Linked DNA regions of Neurospora crassa OR74A. The protein of the gene in region 1 interacts with the protein of each later gene in a pairwise test. Links are inferred from orthologs where the notes say so. Each region holds a gene or a part of one and is shown in the gene's direction. Other genes may lie near its edges.

Region 1 (3,752 bases):
ACAAGCCGACATGGGCTTAGGCCTTTTAAAACCCCTCGAATGTCTGGAAAGCTTCCATCATGATGAAAACGGAAGCCAGACTTGGTCACCCCGCAAAATTCCCCAGGAAAGCAACCTTGTCGTGGGTCAACATGATGGAAAGAGGCAGAAGATGCTATTCCGAGAACACCGAGGTCGAGATTGAAGCCAGAATGGAAATGTCCGTGCCGCTGACCACGGCCCGGACTGTCTCACGATGTTTATCGGGTGGATATCACGACATGGTGCCTGGATGGGATGTTGACATGCACGGGGGAGACGGGAAGGACGGGATATGTAGATAGCGTCCATTCAAGTTGGGTTAAATGGAGACGACGCTCCACATCAAGCTGTCGTCAACAGTGCGATTGGGATTGTGTGGTCTCTGGGGACTGTGGCCGCAGTGACGTTGATGTCCGTCTTCGGAGTCCTTCCTGTCGACGACATGAAGCCGCTCCAAGGTCAGTCAAGCTGAGACGGTCGAGTGATTCAAGACGACGACGGGAGGCATGCTGTGGTCAGGTTGACAGAGGAAAAGAGAGAAAGTTGATAAAATTCAAAGTCGCCATATTAGAAATCCATGCACTTGGTGGCGAAACAACAGTCTGCTTATTTTGTTTTAATAATCGTGAGACATGTGTCGTGGTGTTGATGCTGAACCTCCAATTAGGGACCTGGCTATGGCACGTGACTGGCACTGGCATCATTGAATTGAGCTACGGAGTCTTGACTGTTAGATACTTGCTGTACTGCTTTGCATAGAGTATAACAGCCAGTACATCCCCGCATTTTACAGTGGGCCCGGTGATGTCGCAATTCTGGCGACAAAGCAACAAAGCGAAAAAAACGAGGATGGGTGACTCCACTCTGTACCTGGGAGCTTCCCGCGCCCCACCCCAGTTGATTTCGCCATTTTGCCCTTCTCTTTGCGATCAAGAGCGACGGCCAATCTTGTCTCTTTCCGTCTGCAACATTTCACAGTCACACACACACAGAGAGAAGGAGCAACGAAGTCAAGACACATCCGATTTCAGGCGGTGTGAAGCAACAGCTGAGGTTCAACACCCCGTTGCGATACTGCCCGAGACTTCCACTTTGCCATTTTGGAAAGAGTGCTCTCTCTAAGGTAGTATACCTCATCCATTCCATCCGTCACCGACAGGCGACAGCCGTTCCAGAGCTGTCACTTACCTGGTATTCGGTTACATACCTACCTCTACGCTACTGTACAAAGAGGGAGCACGGGCACTCGTACCCGACACCTACAGTAGCTTCCTTCAAAGAGCAAGAGAGCAGTCACATACCTACTAGCTGCCCAGACTGAAAGGAAGAGACAGCAAGGCACCGAAAGCCGGAGAGACTAGAAGTTTGAGACATTCCACTTGGACAACAGAAGTGGAACAAGTGAACCTGGAAATAGGTCAGCAGCGGTCATCATCATCACAGTACGTAAACCACCAAAAAAGACCCTTTAAACACTTTGACTCGGATCGATGGCGACCAAGGTGCTGTGCATTGCGTGAGGTGCCACCTTGTCCCGTCCACATCCTCGCTGCTCCCGTCCTAGGTCATCCTCCAACAGACATCGATTCCTCCTTAACGTGATTGCCCTCCAAACTGCAGCTATACTGCGCTGCACCAGATAAGAGTGCACTAACACTTACACCGCACCAATAACAACAGGTCCAACAACGTGCCCACCTCCACGGCAGGGAATCAATCCTTCAACGGTCCCTCTTTCATCTCAGCTGAGCTCTTCCTGATCGCCTCCAGTCCTCCTCCCTCCCCGGGGCTCCATCTCCAATCCTCCGCCAACAACATCCAGATCCCATCACGTGTCCATCCATCCAGAAACATCAAGATCGCCAGTTGGGCTGCCCGGCATCACATCGCTGCTGTTTGTTGTCTGCGGGACCCTGCCTTCCTTCTGCTCCTCCTCCAGCTTCATCTAGACCTGCCCAACGGTGGAGCGAGTCTGGATTCCGCATTAACGAGATTGGACCTTTGAGACGGTAGACCGCCCAAACATCGACCACACCAGGGCATCCATCCATACACCTCACATCAACCAGCCCGATCACGCAAGACCACATACCCTTTCCCGCCCCAGCCTGACCGACGGGAGTACCTACTACTAGTACATACCTTGGACTGGACAGGACTGGACAGGCAGGACAGTAGTGTACAGGACAGCACTGCGATACATACAGCAGCAATCTGCGTCCCCTGGTCAGCACGCCATCCATCGCCCTCTAGCCGACCAATGCTTGGTGTTGCCTCTTCCGCCATTCAACAACAGAACCACGCAACCGCAAACGCACTCTAAATTCCCCCTCAGAACGCACAATCGCAGCGTCATTCTGGGCCCGGCGGTCCTCGACTCCCCCTTCTCCCAATGGATTCCTACCACCTCGCCCCGTCTCGTCCGACTGCGAGCTTCGGACATGATAATGACGCCCCGCTCCAACATGGGCCTCTAGTGAACTCCTACTCTCATCACCATAACAACCACTCGCGCGACACCGACTCCGATCCCACCGACCAAAACTGCGACCGCAAACGACCCGAGCAACAGGCAAGGTTGCGCTCCCGCAACAGCGTCACCAACATGTCGTCCGTCCTCATGAGCAAGACTGTCACGCCTTTCCTTCGGGAACACATTCCCAGCATCTACGCCCCCATCGGCAAGCCGGGGAACCAAGAGACGGCCAGAGCAGAGAACCCCAATTCCAAGTACTGCTATAGACACCACCCCGACTCAAAGTGCCGAAGGGCTGCCGACAAGGCCAAGATGGTCATGATTCAGAGCGAGCTAGACAAGCTCACATCAGCGGTGGGTCTTCATACAAAACATAAACATTGATTGCTTCTTGTCTCCAAGGTTTGGTGGACTGACTGGTACCTTGCTTGAAATAATAGGATCAGCAAGCTGTGACCCACGTGTGGTCCCTGTTCTCGGCCGCCCCTGCCCGACATCGCGACCTGATGCTTCAGGGTATCCTCTCCCAGCTCTGCTTCCCCCAGCTCTCCTTCGTCTCGAGAGAAGTCAACGAAGCCCTCAAGATCGACTTCATCTCCGCCCTCCCCGTCGAGCTCGCCCAAAAGGTCTTATGCTATCTCGACACCGTCAGCTTGACCAAGGCCGCCCAGGTCAGCCAGAGGTGGCGAACCCTGGCCGACTCGGATGCCGTCTGGGTCCGCATGTGCGAGCAACACGTCAACAGGAAGTGCACAAAGTGTGGATGGGGATTGCCCTTGCTGGAACGCAAGAAGCTGCGCAACTACACCAGACAAAGACAGCTGGCCAAGGGTGGGCCACAAGGGAGGGTCACAGAACTGGCCGACTCCCACGACAGCCAGGATCGATCCGTCAATCAACATGGAAAGCGCCCGGCAGCAGAGGCGGAGGAAGAGGACCCCATCAAGAAGCGCCAGTGTATGGCTGCAGCAGAAGCCTCCAAGGCGGTAACGCAACCCAAGACCCGAAGCTGGAAGGCCGTCTACCGGGATCGCTGGCAGGTCAGCTACAACTGGAAAAACAGCCGATACAAGTTGTCGGTTCTCAAGGGTCATGAGAATGGTGTCACATGTCTCCAGCTCGATGATAACATCCTTGCGACTGGATCGTACGACACCACTATCAAGATCTGTATGTGGTCTTGCTTCTTTAAACATTGGTGCTCGCTTTAAACTAACACATTGCTGACAGGGAACATTGAGACTGAGGAGTGCAT
Region 2 (3,752 bases), on another chromosome or scaffold:
GTTCAAGCCGTGATGGGGGTTTGCCTAGAAATGCTTCGGGTAGCTTGAGCGAGCTCGTCACACCTCATGAGATTCTGCTACCGCCCGACACCTCGGGTGTTCAGTCCACAAAGTGGGACAGTGAGGTAGAGGACCAAGAAGATGCCGATAGTATCGTACCCAGCGACAGCATCAGCTGCGTGGGGACTCGCAGGAGCGGTCGCGCATACTACAATTAAGCCGCGCGCCGGCAGGTGGGTTCACAATGGACAACCTAAGCATAGAAGAATGTCATAAGTGTCGACTTGCAACGCACAGGGAGCATATCCTGAAAATAGAATAAAAAGCTTCTGTGTTCATCTTGTATCGGTCATCGTCTGCGGCCCTACGTCTATGGATGCCCAAGATGTAGGGCATGTGAGATAATGGTATGGCGATAGGCAGACCATGGCCAGTCATGCTCGTAATGGACAATAGGGCGGGCGAACCAGCACTGCGACAAATCGCAGGGAACAATCCGTGATATGTAAAACATAGAAAGGCTTTTACCATTGCCCAGAACCGAGTTGGCTAGAATGTTATATATATATATATCCAGTCCTGCTCGACGTACCTTTGTTTCATCATGGGAGCGCCTCGCGTTTGACGGGTGGTTGGAAGTCGGCTGGTCGGCAGGCAACGGCCGGCAGGGGCAGAACAGAAAGATACTCCCTCATCTTCCTTGCATCTTCCGTCACCGATCTACGGCGTCAATGTGTAGTGTAGGTCACAGTAGGCGTTCGGGCGGGGCGTAGACTCATCTTCTAGGGGGTGGAGACTGTGGGGATTCCGTCATGTCGGTTTTGCGCCGCGGCCCGGGTACCTAAGTACCTACATACATTGACCTTGTAGGCGGAGGGTATGAACGTATGCTGCATGATATAACAATGCAGCGTTATGGACAATAAGAATCTCCTGCAGAGCAAGGTGTATCCGGTAGAATAGAAAAGACTTGCAAGATATAGTTTAGGCCGTGAGAAGGACCAGTCTATCAACGAAACGTCAAATGCGACCGTCTCTGCCAGAAACATTCTTCATACGATATACACAGTACTGGCAGTAGAGAGAGTACTATGTACATACTAAGAACGATCGTCACCGCTAGCTTAGATCTAACTCCGTGATTGATTGGATACAACCACAAGTACAGATACTTGAAAGCCTCCGATACTCGGCATCGACGAGTCACTCCTTAGCGACCAAATTCCGTCTCAGAACTCGCTCACTTGGCTCACTTGGTTGCTCACTCAACATCTCTCTTTACTCATTCCCTTGCTCAGAACTAACAGGGAGGCAGAGATAAGTTAGGTCAAATTATCAAGGACACACCTAGTTTTATGTTAGCCATGTTCTTGGAGCTTGCCCTTGCCTCACTATCTTAAGCGGTAATTGTGACCCAGCTAACGGAAAGACAGCATCTATTAGGCCAGGAACCAATAGGGAAGGTCCTCACATCCGCGCGAAGCAAAAGTATAACATTCACGCAGCATCACCACTCATCTTACTACCTATCCGCACTCATCTGGCACTCAGTCACGTATACCATGCCTCCCTTCGAGCTTGGGGACCCTATACCCTCGGAGACCGCTCATGTATGCACCCATTCCCCAGCACATACAGTTACCACCATTACAATGCCTCTTTCTGACCTCAAGTTGCTGTCTCTAGGCCGTGAGCGTCTCACTCCCAACCTGGAGTGCCAATGTTGGCTATGAGGAGGGCCAGGATTGGGTGGTTAAACGCATGGCAACGGGTTATCCTCGGTATGTGGGCGCCTGTCCTCCAGACATCATGATCACTACAGTCGTAGTATCTCGATGAGCACTACAGTTGTACTGACCGACCTGTGTCAGCTTCTTCATCCATCGGACCATTCAGGCCTTTGCTGCGGACATTGTGGCCACGCATGTCAGTACCAAGGCCAAGCGAACTAGTGATATCACAGCCATGCTTTTCCCGACGCCGACCATTGCCTCTCGCTGCGTTGATTTCATCCGCTCGCGGGCACCTGCTGATGTCTGCAGCAACATTGAGGTCGTCAACCTCGTTCTTGATATGTCGGATCCCGAGGCGCGTGCCCTGGAGCCCCTTTGTCCATCCATCTCTGCTGTGATCATGCCACAGGACGGCTTTCCATTCGCAAAACAGTACTGGCAGCATAGTGGAGATGGCGTTTCTAGCCGTCGGGCTGAGTTCTGCCACGGTTTGTTCAAAGACGGCTTGCTGCGTCCTGATACTGAACTCCGTAATGCGGCTGTCTCTGCAGCAAAGCCGTGTCGCGGTCCCAAGCGCTATCAGCGGCAGGCTTCGCTTGACGCTGGAGGAAACCAACAAACGATAATGCACGGCCATATCCACAGGGCTACCGGAGAGACTGCGATGATCCAAGAGACTTCCCGTTTTCTAGAAGAGCGTTTCGGCAGAAATCTCGACCTCTCCTTTGTCCATCCCGCCAAGTCCGCCATCAAGAGACGAATTGCCGGAGCACTGCGAAGTGCCGACCATGACCTTGGAGGTTCCCCTTCGCTGTCAGAAAAGCAGATGAGTTCCAACACCCGCGGCATCGCCAATCTTCGCGAGGAAGATATCTATCTCTTCCCATGCGGAATGAACGCCATTTTTCATGCCCACAGAGCGCTGTATTCCATTCGAACCCCGCCGGGCAGCACGCCGCTAAAGAGCGTCAACTTTGGCTTCCCTTACGTCGATACGCTCAAGATTCTGGAGAAGTTCAACCCTTCTGGTGCGTTATTCTACGGCCACGGTTCCAAGTCCGACCTCGACGACTTGGAGACTCGACTCGAGTCCGGAGAGCGGTATCTCGCTCTTTTCTGTGAATTTCCGGGCAACCCCTTACTCACTTGTCCCGACCTGGTCCGTATTCGGGAGCTGGCGGACAAGTACGAATTTGCCGTTGTTGTAGACGAGACTATTGGCACTTTTGCGAATGTGAATGTCCTCCAGTTCGCGGACATTGTTGTCAGCAGTCTCACAAAGATTTTTAGCGGCGACTGCAACGTCATGGGTGGCGGTGCTATATTTAACCCTAATTCACGATACTATTCAGCCCTGAAATCCTTCGTCCAGCAGCAATTGGAGGACACCTACTGGCCCGAGGATGTCATTTTCATGGAGCGCAACAGCAGAGACTTCGTCGCGCGCATAGACCGAGTCAATGCAAATGCCGAAGCCATTTGCCGTGTCCTCCAAGATCATCCGCTCGTCAAGACTCTCTACTACCCCAAGTACAATGATTCACGGGCCAACTATGAAGCGGTCAAACTGCCACAAGGAGGCTACGGTGGCCTTATCTCAGTGGTCCTCAAAGGGAAGAAGCAGGCTGTGGCCTTTTACGATGCGATCGAAACGGCCAAGGGTCCGAGCTTGGGAACCAACTTCACATTGACTTCGCCCTATGTGCTCCTGGCGCATTATCAGGAGCTTGACTGGGCTGAGCAGTATGGTGTTGACAGGAATTTGATACGGATCAGTGTCGGGCTGGAGGGAACAGATGAGCTTATCAATGTGTTTACCAGAGCACTGAAAGTTGCCGAGGAACAATCTCAATATCCTTGAAAGTAAGGACAGGTAGCGAATGCTTACAGATGTAAACATGTTAAGATGGGTCTGTGGTAGGAAGAGGAGTGAAATGATACAAACCTTGTGTTCTCTTCGCATGTCACACATTTGTCCTTTGCCGCTAATACATACCTACACTTTGGCAACTATATACC
Region 3 (3,752 bases), on another chromosome or scaffold:
AGCTTTCCCTGATAAGACAGATCTCGCCCGGGTCGTCAGAGCGGACTCAAGCGATAGTGGCGATTGCGGTGGACACGATAGCGATTCCCTATATCGGGTACATGCTCTGGGACGAATACACGGGCCGCCCATTGGGACTAAGGCCGGTGACGCAAAAGAGCGGGTTGGTGCTGATGGATGTGTTTTTCATCGTGTTCAAGGCGGCCAGCACGGCGTTGGCATATGAGGTGTTGGTTTATCATAACAGTCAAGATCGCTTCACGGACCATTTCAGCCAGGCGCTGGCCGCGTTTCAGCTGCTTGGGCTTTTTTTCTGGTTGACCAACTTTACGGTCAATGTGTTTAGGCTGGTAGTAAAGCTGGGAGGCGGAGATGATTTGGAGACTCAGAGGGGAAGGTAATGACGGTTATAATGGGCGGTCAAGCCCCGAAGGATATTGAGAGGGAAAGAAAAACAAAGCGGGGGAGATGAATCACGTCGAACGTCTCCAACCACCCGCATGGGAGCATACTTACTTGCATTTTCTCGTACTTTGTCGATACCTCAGCACGGTTCTGCCTCTGTGTTCTTTTGGGTGGGGTTTTTGGATTAGCAAATTAGCATACAGCGGTAACAAATAGTGTTTGATCAGTTGGTAATGTTGGTGATGTTGATATTAGCAAGGATGGTGATGATTATTACTCGATTGTATATGCATTATGAGACATGAAAAGGGGAACGGATAGCGAAAGATTTGACATGGTAAGGAGATATCATATTGCCTGCCGTGAGCTCCCAGCAGAAAAATACATGCAGTTTAATCGAATTCTGGCCACCAATGGTGTCCTTCTACAACATTAGCGGTTAAAGGGGCTGTAAACGGCTGACCTACCTCTACCTACAAGTAGCTACATCGTTGTCACTGTTCTGCTTTCTTGTATGTAAAATGCCCCGCCAGCTGTACATATGTGCCATCCCCATATTTTATTACTTCAGTTCCGGTTATTGTATTCATATTGAGAAGAAACATGGTATTATATCAATATAAGGTACATACCTTCATCAGATCTGTTAGCCGCCATTGTTAGATGTACCGGTAATGACGGAATGTACACTAGATGGTCGCCCGTCCCGCATCGCAGGGCATAGGTCGTCTCCATCCCCGCCACTTTCCCGTCCATGGTTGGTTCCCCACAATTTTGCGTGTTCGCGGTGGACGTTTACTGGCGGGGGGGCCACTGCTCTGGAGCCTCCATGCTGCTTGCTGTCAGTGTCAATCGATGCCTGCCACGCCGCTGCAGCCTGAAAACCGTCAACGAACGACGGCATCGCTCTATCATCCGGGCATCGACCACGGCAGCAGCAGCAGCAGCAGCAGCCTCGGGGGGCCAATCTGGAAACTGGAAACTCCACTCTTCAACTTGATTACCTACACTCAGAACAGAACATTGAAACCTGTCAGAACACCACCACAACAACAACAACAACAACAACAACAACCAGCCAAGGTACCTACCTCTACACCTCACCTCTAGGCTGCGACCTCACACCCGTCACTCCAAGGGAACAATCCTTTCTTCACCCGACCCGATATCCGATCAACCCGTCTGTCTGTCTGCTCACGGTCACGGTCCTTCTCCCAGCCGACACCGACGGACCTAAGGACGTGGTGACCCCCGCCATCCATCCGACCTTCCAGACCTGTGGCGCGCCTCATCGCTCAGGACGAGCTTCTACTTCTACGCCTCTGGCTGCCACCCAGTCCATTTACCCTTCGTCACCGGTCGCAGTCAACGCGCTTCCAACCTCAAGAACGACCGGTCGCCCAGATCAAACTCGTTCTTGCCCCCCCGACAGCCTCTGGACGAACACACGCGACCCAACACGACCTGGTCAGCTTGAGTTTTCTCACGGATTACGCCCCTCGTCCACCACCACTTGTCAGCCGGCATATTATTCCCAACATCGCATTCTTTCTTCGATTCCCGGCGCACGATCGCTCTTCAAACGAACATACACATAGACACAACAAACATGCCTCCGGCAACCATGATGATGGGGGCGTACGGGCAGCAGCCTTCTGGCAGTGATGGTATCGACAGCACGTATGTTTTCGCTCTCTTCGCTGCTGGCCCCTCTGCCTCCAAACAGCCGTACTGACCCTCTGCCAATCAGTTGGCCATACTTGCAGTCTAGTATCAACAAGATCATGACCAACCTCCAAGAAGGCCTCGACATGAGCAGTGTATGTTTCTTCCTCGCCCATCCGTCCACGTTACCCCCCGCTAACACACGCCGTTTGTAGTACATGGGAATCTACACGTTAGTTGGACGGATGCCCTATTTGTCTATACACTCCTTCAACATGGTACTAACTGCGGCATAGGGCGGTGCACAACTTCTGCACATCGCAGAAGGCCAACGGCGGTAGCAGCAGTCCGAGTAATCACCTTCCGGGAATCGGGGCCCAGAGAGGGGGTATGTTGTCTTTCCCTGCATTTGCCCGTTAAACAGATTGAGCAAGAGGACTAACATGCACCAGCCCATCTGCTTGGTGAGGACTTGTACAAGAAGCTGGCCAACTACCTGACAGACCACCTTAAGCACCTAGTCTCCGAAGCGGAGGCTCACAAGGACGAGGCCTTGTTAGCTTTTTACATTCGCGAATGGCAACGCTACACCAACGCCGCCAAGTATATCCACCATCTCTTCAAGTACCTGAATAGACACTGGGTTAAGCGCGAGATGGATGAAGGGAAAAAGAACATTTACGACGTCTACACGCTCCACCTTGTTCAGTGGCGTGACGTGTTGTTCCAGGCTGTCTCTAAGAAAGTCATGGACGCCGTTCTCAAGCTAGTGGAAAGGCAACGCCTCGGTGAAACCATCGAGTACACCCAGATCAAACAGGTGGTCGATAGCTTCGTCTCACTCGGTATGGACGAAGGCGACAACACCAAGACGACGCTGGAAGTGTATAGGTACCACTTTGAAAGGCCGTTCCTGGAGGCGACCAAAGTCTTCTACCAAAACGAAAGCAAACAGTTCGTGGCCGAGAATAGCGTTGTCGAGTACATGAAGAAGGCCGAGGCTCGCCTGGCTGAGGAGGAGGAGCGCGTACGCATGTATCTGCATCCAGATATTGCCCTACATCTGAAGAGGACTTGCAACCAGGCCCTCATCGCGGAGCACTCTACCCTGTTGCGTGAAGAATTCCAGGCCCTGCTGGACAACAACCGAGAGGACGACATGAGGCGGATGTACAGCCTCCTTTCTCGCATTCCCGACGGTCTGGAGCCTCTGCGGACTCGTTTCGAGGCCCATGTTCGCAAGGCTGGTTTGGCGGCTGTTGCCAAGGTGGCTGCAGACGCCGACAAGCTGGAGCCCAAGGTCTACGTCGACGCTCTGCTTGAGATCCACACTCAGTACCAGGGGTTAGTTGAGCGCGCTTTCAACAAGGAGCCTGACTTCACCAGATCTCTAGACAACGCGTGCAAGGAGTTTGTGAACCGGAACGAGGTCTGCAAATCGGGCTCCAACAAGTCACCGGAACTGCTGGCCAAGTACACGGACGTGCTTCTCCGCAAGAGCAGCACCGGAGTGGAGGAGGCGGAGCTCGAGAACACGCTGACGCAGATTATGACTGTGTTCAAGTACATCCAGGACAAGGACGTGTTTCAAAAGTTCTACTCACGCATGCTGGCGCGCCGCCTCGTACACAGCAACTCCAACTCGGACGATGCCGAGACCTCGATGATTTCCAAGCTCAAGG

Evidence for each region. The genes of interacting proteins can lie anywhere in the genome.
Region 2: the proteins of scon-2 (region 1) and met-7 interact in a two-hybrid assay, tested with the Saccharomyces cerevisiae proteins (2 studies listed by BioGRID, with this or other methods). The link is inferred for Neurospora crassa OR74A from reciprocal best matches to the Saccharomyces cerevisiae genes MET30 and STR2.
Region 3: the proteins of scon-2 (region 1) and cul-1 interact in binary tests that used the Saccharomyces cerevisiae proteins (3 or more experiments, as listed by UniProt). The link is inferred for Neurospora crassa OR74A from reciprocal best matches to the Saccharomyces cerevisiae genes MET30 and CDC53.

The regions. Positions count from the first base shown.
Region 1 is NC_026503.1:4,897,312-4,901,063, forward strand, and holds the start of scon-2 (sulfur controller-2 protein), read left to right. Parts: upstream 1-942; 5' UTR 943-1,463; intron 1,464-1,701; 5' UTR 1,702-2,413; coding exon 2,414-2,851; intron 2,852-2,937; coding exon 2,938-3,667; intron 3,668-3,727; coding exon 3,728-3,752. UniProt on the Saccharomyces cerevisiae protein: Substrate-recognition component of the SCF(Met30) complex, an E3 ubiquitin ligase complex that mediates the ubiquitination and subsequent proteasomal degradation of target proteins. Negatively regulates sulfur amino acids biosynthesis genes expression.
Region 2 is NC_026507.1:2,514,498-2,518,249, reverse strand, and holds the start of met-7 (cystathionine gamma-synthase), read left to right. Parts: upstream 1-1,210; 5' UTR 1,211-1,562; coding exon 1,563-1,610; intron 1,611-1,686; coding exon 1,687-1,781; intron 1,782-1,871; coding exon 1,872-3,594; 3' UTR 3,595-3,752. Other genes in the region: NCU02429 (hypothetical protein), read left to right, coding at 1-218. UniProt on the Saccharomyces cerevisiae protein: Catalyzes the formation of L-cystathionine from O-succinyl-L-homoserine (OSHS) and L-cysteine, via a gamma-replacement reaction. In the absence of thiol, catalyzes gamma-elimination to form 2-oxobutanoate, succinate and ammonia.
Region 3 is NC_026504.1:5,762,321-5,766,072, reverse strand, and holds the start of cul-1 (Cullin 1), read left to right. Parts: upstream 1-1,382; 5' UTR 1,383-2,014; coding exon 2,015-2,085; intron 2,086-2,155; coding exon 2,156-2,225; intron 2,226-2,285; coding exon 2,286-2,302; intron 2,303-2,366; coding exon 2,367-2,458; intron 2,459-2,522; coding exon 2,523-3,752. Other genes in the region: NCU05203 (hypothetical protein), read left to right, coding at 1-401. UniProt on the Saccharomyces cerevisiae protein: Core component of multiple cullin-RING-based SCF (SKP1-CUL1-F-box) E3 ubiquitin-protein ligase complexes which mediate the ubiquitination and subsequent proteasomal degradation of target proteins.